Linked DNA regions of Caenorhabditis elegans. The protein of the gene in region 2 purifies or fractionates together with the protein of the main gene of each other region. This does not show direct contact. Each region holds a gene or a part of one and is shown on either strand. Other genes may lie near its edges. The genes, in order: arf-1 and rfgp-2.

Region 1 (3,783 bases), on a different chromosome or scaffold from region 2:
ATTTTGCTTGAATAGTTGCTCAGTCAGCAGAGATAGTATTAGGGTACAGTAAGTATATAATTGGATTACTGTAGTTCCATTAATTGTGCAATTTAGGTGATTTGGAGAGGTTATGAATTGGAATACGTCTGGGAATAGTATCAGGGTACATTAGAAGCACTGTAGGATTACTGTATTTTCAGTGTATTACGTGAACACTGAGAATGCGCATTGAGCAACATGTTCGACGCGCAAAATATCTCGTAGCGAAAACTACAGTAATTCTCTAAATGACTACTGTTGCGCTTGTGTCGATTTACGGGCTCGATTTTAGAACATAATTTATTTTCGAATTGTGACCGAAATATTTGAATTTCATCCTATTTTTCTTTTTTCTGTCATTCCGAGTCAAAAAGTGAAAAAGAACAAAGCAAAATCAGACCATGGCTACAGTAGTAATGTAAATAATTTCTGTATTTTTCGCTACGTGATATCTGTGCGCCAGACAAGTTGCACAATACGAAATTCCAGAATTTAGTTTTTCCGTATTAAAAATTTTTGCACATAGTATAACGCCTCATGTGTTAATAAATTACCCTTAAAAATTAACATTTCTTGTCCAAATTGAGGAAAAAGATCATTTTCATACTTTCATATTGTCATTATCAACAGGTGAATATAACATAATAATTTACTCCACGACAAAAAAAATGGTGAATATGATACTATAATACGGAAAAATTGAGGAAAAGCAAAACAGTGTTCGATACGAAATAGAAGAGAAGCGAAATTAAAGGTTCGAGGGGAAGGGAACGATGAAAACGAGATTTGTGTGTAGGTTTGTGTGCAATTACGCGCAAAAATCACAAAAATAGAATAATGGTTCAACAAGAGAAGAGAAACACGTTCATACTTCTTCTCGTTACACAACACTGTTTCAGGGAATATTTGAGGGAGATGGAGGGCGGAGCAGGTCAAAAATGGAGAGAAAAACAATGAATAACTTACATATTATTCCCGTCAGGAGCGGTTCCAAATGTAATCGGATAAGAAAAAATGTCGGATTTGGAAGTTAAGAAGAAATAGACGACAAATGAATTGGGGCTTTAAATAAAAATTGGGTTGAAAAAGTAGAAGAGGGCGATGGTGATCAAATTAAAAAGCCTAAGGGATGGGAGAGGGAATTTCAAATGGAACAGAGAAGAACAAAGAGAATGAATGGGGAGAAGAAAGGAGTTGAAACGAATAACAAAAACGGATGATTCGTAGTCGTTTATTCGTCGAAGGTGGATTCAGAAAAATGATTTAAGATCTATTCTTGAGCTGGTTGCTGAGCCAATCGAGTCCTTCATAGAGACCATCTCCTGATGTCGCACATGTGGCCTGGAATTAATTTATTATTGAAAAATAGTGAATTTCTTTAGTTTTAAAATATCAGATGAGAAACTGCTGATTAAAAATATCTCACCTGAATATACCACGATCGATTTCTGAGCGAGTGGAGCCCGAGCTTGTCAGTGACCTCAGCGGCGTTCATGGCTTGTGGAAGATCTTGTTTGTTGGCGAAGACCAGAAGAACGGCATCACGAAGCTCATCCTCGGCGAGCATACGCATCAGCTCTTCACGAGCCTCTCCAACACGTTCACGATCGTTGGAATCAACAACAAAGATAAGTCCTGCAAGAAAATATAATCAATAGAGCATTTTTTTTGGACAGTCTGTGAATTCTTGCGGGTGATAAGCTGATCCGCAAACTATTCTCGTAAATCACTAACCTTGTGTGTTCTGGAAATAATGCCTCCAGAGTGGACGGATCTTGTCCTGACCTCCGACATCCCACACGGTGAATGAAATGTTCTTGTATTCGACAGTCTCCACGTTGAATCCTGAAATATGAATAAAAATTATGACTCATTGTGAACCGTTCTTTCGCAACAAAAAAACGTCCCAATGACTCACCAATAGTTGGGATAGTCGTGACAATCTCGCCCAGCTTCAACTTGTACAAAATCGTAGTCTTTCCGGCAGCATCCAATCCAACCATCAGAATACGCATCTCCCGTTTGCCGAAGAGGCCTTTAAATAAGCTGCCGAACACGTTTCCCATTCTATAAATTGATTAATAAATTAAATTATTGAATTTCAGAAGAGGAACCGATGGAAGTGAAAAGGAACGCTAATAAAATGTGAAAGCTGAATCAATAATCTTCGTGGGAAATTGCGAAAAATTCGGGAAGATTTCAAATCCAATACGTGAAAATGCCAGCAACGACAATCGGAGAAAAAAGTACGGAAGACGATTGGAAGGAGGAAGAATCGGGTAAAACGTGGCAAGGAGATGGATATCTATAACAGGCGCAAGGAGCGAGAATCCAGCAGAAATACATCGGCTACACCGTCCAACGTGTCACTAGCACAGCAGTCTCTGGCGACCAGTGGAGTGTCTCTTCCTCTCTCAACCTCTCGACGCTGCTTTTTGTCTTGTTCGCTGGGCGCGTCGCGTGCGTTGCGCAGCGGTCGAATAAGAGGAGATAGATGGCAATAAGTGAAGAGACCGAGACGTGAAAGTACCGCAAGAGATGAGGAGAGAGCGAAAAAGAACAAGAGACCGTCCAAATTTGTCCGCTAGTGCAGGACGGAAGGATGAAGAACACATACACACAGGAACGAGAATAGTAATGTTCGAGTTCCTTCTACTGACTCCACGTCAGCCGTACGTTGAATCTTTCAATCCTTCAGTGAAATCTTGATTGATTGATTGAATGAACCCGAAAGTTCTAAAATTTGAACTTTGAAACAAACTTTTTCGAGTGATAAGACGATAAACTGCAACATTAAGAAAGTGATGAAAAATGCTTTTTGAGAGAAGAAAAACCTATTGAACGCGAGCGCATTGTTGAGAAATTTTGAAAATCGTGACGCAATTAAAAACTCTGAAAAAAGGACACGTGTCACAAGAGTGCAGCACGAGATACTGTGACTAATAAATAGAATCAGATGAGAAAATTAATATTAAATCAAATACAAAGCGCCAAACTTTCTAAATAGATGACCCGCATTTCCGACTAAAGCAATGTGGCGCTTCTGAAGAATGTGCTGGAGAAAAATGAAAGCTTAATAGAAACCGGCCGCCGCAGACAGTATAGATCAATGCCTTTGCGCCAATCTAGGATAGTTCATCTTTCCGCCTTTCAAAATGCCGAGAATTTCTTACTTTCTGCAGTAATTATTAGGAGTCACAAACCTTGATTTTCGAGCTTTTTGCGTTCAAATTCGGAAATAAATGAAATGACGATCAAATCAAAGATAAAATGTGACGATTGCAACGTCGAAGCAAGAAAAATTGGAGGAATAAAGTTAAGAAAGAACAAAGAAAAAAAAAATTAAAATCATTTATTTTCTGGCAATTCACGGCTAAATACGACGAAAACACACCGGTTTCCGCAAAAATACCTGTGTTTTATTGAAAATTAACTCGTTTTTTACTCGTCACTCGGGAGGGGCTCTTTTTGTACTCGTTCACTTTTCAGTGGCCCGTCTTTTATTCTTTCGCTGATTTTTTTTCGAGATCACAGCCATTATGTATTCTTTTACTTTATTTTTCTCATTTAGTGGAGTTATTGCTCTCTTTTGCTCTTTTTTGCTGGCTTTTTCATCAATGAGATATATCGATAGAAATAATGCAAACAACAAAAATGAACGAAAAAATAATGGGAACTTGTCAAGGAATCAGGTAAAAATCAATAATCATTGCGATTCTGAACAGATCACATGACAAGTTCTTAGCCAAGAACAATAAAAAA
Region 2 (4,703 bases):
ATTTCTCTTCTTTTCTTTCTTCTCTCCGCATTTTGTCTTCTCTTTGCCTTCTTTTCTTCCAGTTTTTGTTTCAAAACTTGTTCTCTTCTCTTCACTTTTTCAATTCTCAAATGATACAATTGCTCTTCAAATTCCATATCTTTCCTTTTCAATCCTTCCTGTTCGATTTTGTTCTTTACATCTTCATTCGCTTCCTTCACATGCCAATCTTCTTCTATCATTAGTCGTTTAATGCGTCGAGCTTCTTCCTTGAATTTCAGAGTTTGACGATCGACTTCTTCTTTTGATGGGATTCGATGCACATGTCTGGAAATGTAGTCTTATTTCGAAAGTTTTGTGTGAATCTAAGTATACCTGATTAAGAAATAACCACCACAGATGTAAGGAAGGAGCAGCAGATTTTGAAAATAGAGTAGGAGCAATTCAACATAATACATGAACATTTCACGGGTAGAAATTGCTGAAAACGTAGCATTATTTCAACAACCGGTACCTCCCACATATCTTTTGGCAACAATAAAGTAAGCCTGCCTAGGCATAATGAAGCTAGATGCTCACCTATATATTTCCTAGAAGTTTCCGATTTCGCATTCCTTATTTCAAAGCCAAAATGGATGATAAGAATTATATAAAGCACGATAAGATAGACTTTTTTGTAGATTTTCAATGCGTAAAATATGAAAAGTGCAATTAAACCCTGAAATTTTTAAAATTTATTTGCAATTCCATTCGGAAAATCTCTCACATTCTGTAGTGATTTAGTGGCACTTGTGCATGATCTCGTCGAATGGTGTTTATTGAATACCGGATTTATAAGCTCAAATCCATCGATCTTGAATTGCTGAGGCTGACAAACTCTCAAATTTGATCAAACTGATTAGGCTTTTAGGCTCAAATAAGCTACTAACATTATCGAGTAGTATATGGGAATGAAGCTGAAAAATATGAGACCAACTGAATACCAACGAAGATGTAGCTGGAAGAAATCAATTACTCTCAGAAACATGTTATTTGAGCTCACTCTTAAATTGCACTTTGCTTCAATAAAGGCATAGGTTCTTTTATTCAATTGCTTCTCGAATAATGGTTTACCTCATCTTCAACATCTTCCAATTCGGTTTCTTCGAGAGAGTGACCAACTGATTTATCCACTGATTTTGATGCACGTTTACGTGGTGTAACTACCATATTTTTTGAAAATACATTTTTTGAGGTAATTTTTCCGTCCACAGTCGGTCTGGTCGTTTCACGTTTCAACCAAAGGTCGAAGTATAATATTTATAATGTTATTTCACATTTTAAGCAGAGCATTGTGGACTAATCAGAAAGTGAGGCATTTATAACTTTAGTTTCAAAATTATGCTTTAAAATGTATGGTCATCTACAATCACTAGCTGTTATAGACACCTGTGTTTCACTTAAATAGAGAAACTTTCTTTCTGAAATAAATTAATTCATTTCCTCGAAATGCTCGTGAAATTCCGTGCAAAGTCCGCAGCGCGGTGTTTGCGTACTTTCGACGTGTAACTCGCTAAAATTATGTGAAGCCGGCGCAACTGAAAGACTACAAACCAACGTTGAAAATGGCTTAATCGATAGTTTTCAGTTAATTTTTTCACCAATTCTTATGTAGAAATCATTGACCATCATCTCTTATCAGTGCAACAACTTCCTGATCCACTAAGCGTTGAACGCCGATTTTTTTCTCTAATTTGGCAGAAACCGGTTTCTTTTCATTGATTTTATGTTCGCGTACAGCCATTTGACAGCTTTTCCCCCAATCTTTGCAAACATGTGTACCCAAGTTATTGATTTCATTTTTCAGGCAAAATGTCCGACGAAAATGGGCCTTCCAAAGTTGATTTGCAGACAGCAATGAGAAAAATGAGAGCTCTCCCACCGAACAAAGTAAGATTTTCATTTTGCTGTTGATTGAAAAATCTAAATATATATTATCTTGAAAATAAATAAAAAACAAAAACGTATTTTTTCAGCTCTGCTTCGACTGTGGTGCGAGGAACCCCACCTGGTGCACTGTCACATATGGTTCGTATTTCAAATAATTCTAATCACTCATTAAACATTTTTCAGGTGTATTTCTCTGTATTGATTGTTCTGCTGTTCATCGTAACCTCGGTGTTCACCTCACGTTCGTCCGTTCCACCAATTTGGATACAAATTGGACTTGGCTTCAGTTGAGAGCCATGCAACTCGGAGGAAATGGAAATGCGGTTAGTTTATTCGATATGAAACACAACTGTTGAATTCATTTTTTTTGCAGAATCAATTCTTCAAAGCGCATGGCTGCAATACCACTGAAGCTCAACAAAAATACAAAAGTCGAGCGGCTCAGATGTATAGAGATAAGCTCTCAACCCTGTGCCAGGAAGCCCAGCGAAAATTCGGGACTCAATTGATTATTGATACAGTAACTCATGCAGAGGAAAAGCCAGCTGTGAGTTTGACTGTTTTCATACTCGTCTTTATTTATTTATTTCAGGAGGAAGAAGATTTCTTCGCTCAAGATTTCGGTCACACTTCTGCATCTGCTACTTCCTTGTCTTCTGATGCATATATTGCTGATCACAAATCTGAAGACTCTACTCACGGTCCAAGCGTTGATCATCTCGACTCTTCCGTCGCTGTTCCTACCTCTGCTCCAGTTTCCGTGATTCTTAAAAAACCAATCAAGAAAGCCACTCTCGGCGCCAAGAAAAATGCTCTCGGAGCTCAAAAAGTGCGGATTAATTTTGATGAAATTGAGCAAAGAGCTGCTGAAAAAGAGAGACAGACGGCCGCCGAAGTTGCTGCGAACAAGCTTGCTTATCAAACAGAGCTTGATGGTAAGAAAAAATCCGATGATGCCGCTGCATTGCAAAAGCTCAGTGCCAAATTTGCCATGCAAGATATTGATGCTCAAAGAAAGCAAATGGAGGTAGGATTTCAAACAAATGACATTGGTTTTTAAAGTTAATATTTTTCAGGCAAAGGTTGCAAAAGATCCTACAAAAGCCGCTTCAGTCGATCGTCTCGGAATGGGAGGTGTCGGTAGATCCCGTGCCGCTCATTCAGTCGCTGGTGGTATTCGATCTATTAAACAGGATGATGTTCTTACGTTCAAGAAACCTTCACAGCCAAAAGAAGATGACGATTGGGAGGTTATTGATGATAAGTACGGAAAGAAAAGTACGAACAACGAGGATGATTTCTTCTCAAAAGACTATACTTCGAGTAGTAGCAAGAAAACAACAAAGGAAGATGATTTCTTTGACTCATTTGAGACGCAACCTGTGCAGTAAGTGAAATTATATAAAATTAATTTAAAACACGACTTTACGACTTTTTTCCAGAAAATCCCGCTATACCGCATCTTCTTCCTCTTCGTCAACATCCCGTGCACCAACGACTCGCCTGACTGCTGGAGCATCTCCAATTTCGGATGTTGATCTTCAGAAGAAATTCGGAAATGCTAAAGCTATCTCAAGTGATATGTACTTTGGAACGCCTGAAATGGATGTATGTTTTTATATTATTGGTAATATTTTTAAATTTACAATTTTATATATTTTCAGTGTGAAACAAGAAGTGCATTGACCAAGTGTGAAGGACAGACTTCATTTGGATCCGAAGATTTGTGGGGTAACGGAAGCCAGCAACGTCAATCTAGTCAAGTAAGCTCGAAGCTGTCATCGAAATTAAAATATTCTAAATCTAATTTTCAGGTTCCTGATATGTCTGATTTGAAAGATTCTTTCCGTGCCGGAGCTTCAAAGGTCGCTGAGAAATGGTCAACGCTGTCGAGTTCATTCTCTACTTACATGTCGGTAAGTAAATTTTTATTCCAAAGTTTTCTGGAGGTATTGAAAAAATATAAGACAGTTTAAAAATTAAAATAAGTTTATAATCCACAATTCAGCGTGCTCCTCCAGCAACTGGAGAAAAAACATAAATTCCTGGCTTTTAACGGCGAGTTTATCCCATCCGTAAAATTGGTTTTTAATGTTGTTTTCTTTTAGTTTTGTCTTTATCTTTTATTTTTCAACCTATGGGTTTTTGTATTCTCACTGAATTTCGGGTCTTTCAAAACTTTTTTACTTTATTTTATTGAATGTTGTGTGTCATTGGGTTTTTCAATTTCTTTTGTCGTTGTGAATGTTTCATATATCAGTTTTGTTGGGCACAAACTTAAGTTAACTTCCATTCAAAAAAAAACCTTCAAATTGAGAAAATCGTAATTGCAAGCTGTGTAGATTTACTGTAAACAACACACACATCCGGAATAACGGAGTGTCGTAGTTTATTTTCATTTTTTCGAATTTCGTTTTGTTTTAACAATTATATTTTTCTTCTAAATTCCTTAAGAGCGTTTCAATTTTTTTTTGTTGAAAATTGTCATGACTAGCATCTAACTCAGGGAAATTTAAAAAAATTTCTATAACTTGAAAATTCGCTTTGCATTGAGCCCTGACCAAAACAAGTCACCCTCTCAGCTGCTCATTTTCTTATTTTCGTCGCGAGAACGCAAACAAGGATAAACTTGACCAAAAAACACGTTTGTTTACCATGCAAGCTTTGTTTTTTGGTCCGAAATTGGTTTTTAATACGTAAATATGTACCCATAAATACTGAATAAAAGTATCAAAATTAATTCGAGAGACATTTTTTTTTACTTTCAATTTCCGAAGTAGATTAACGAAATTTCG

The links.
Region 1: the proteins of rfgp-2 (region 2) and arf-1 fractionate together in Caenorhabditis elegans (co-fractionation; one large-scale study listed by BioGRID). This does not show direct contact.

What each region holds. Positions count from the first base shown.
Region 1 is NC_003281.10:5,714,420-5,718,202, reverse strand, and holds arf-1 (ADP-ribosylation factor 1-like 2), read right to left. Parts: upstream 2,089-3,783; 5' UTR 2,088-2,088; coding exon 1,940-2,087; intron 1,867-1,939; coding exon 1,756-1,866; intron 1,657-1,755; coding exon 1,448-1,656; intron 1,363-1,447; coding exon 1,285-1,362; 3' UTR 659-1,284; downstream 1-658. UniProt on the Caenorhabditis elegans protein: Small GTPase involved in protein trafficking between different compartments. Modulates vesicle budding and uncoating within the Golgi complex. In its GTP-bound form, triggers the recruitment of coatomer proteins to the Golgi membrane.
Region 2 is NC_003280.10:5,426,695-5,431,397, reverse strand, and holds rfgp-2 (ARF GTPase activating Protein), read left to right. Parts: upstream 1-1,825; 5' UTR 1,826-1,830; coding exon 1,831-1,908; intron 1,909-1,994; coding exon 1,995-2,046; intron 2,047-2,091; coding exon 2,092-2,231; intron 2,232-2,281; coding exon 2,282-2,455; intron 2,456-2,500; coding exon 2,501-2,935; intron 2,936-2,984; coding exon 2,985-3,295; intron 3,296-3,350; coding exon 3,351-3,516; intron 3,517-3,572; coding exon 3,573-3,671; intron 3,672-3,722; coding exon 3,723-3,824; intron 3,825-3,916; coding exon 3,917-3,949; downstream 3,950-4,703. UniProt on the Caenorhabditis elegans protein: GTPase-activating protein for the ADP ribosylation factor family.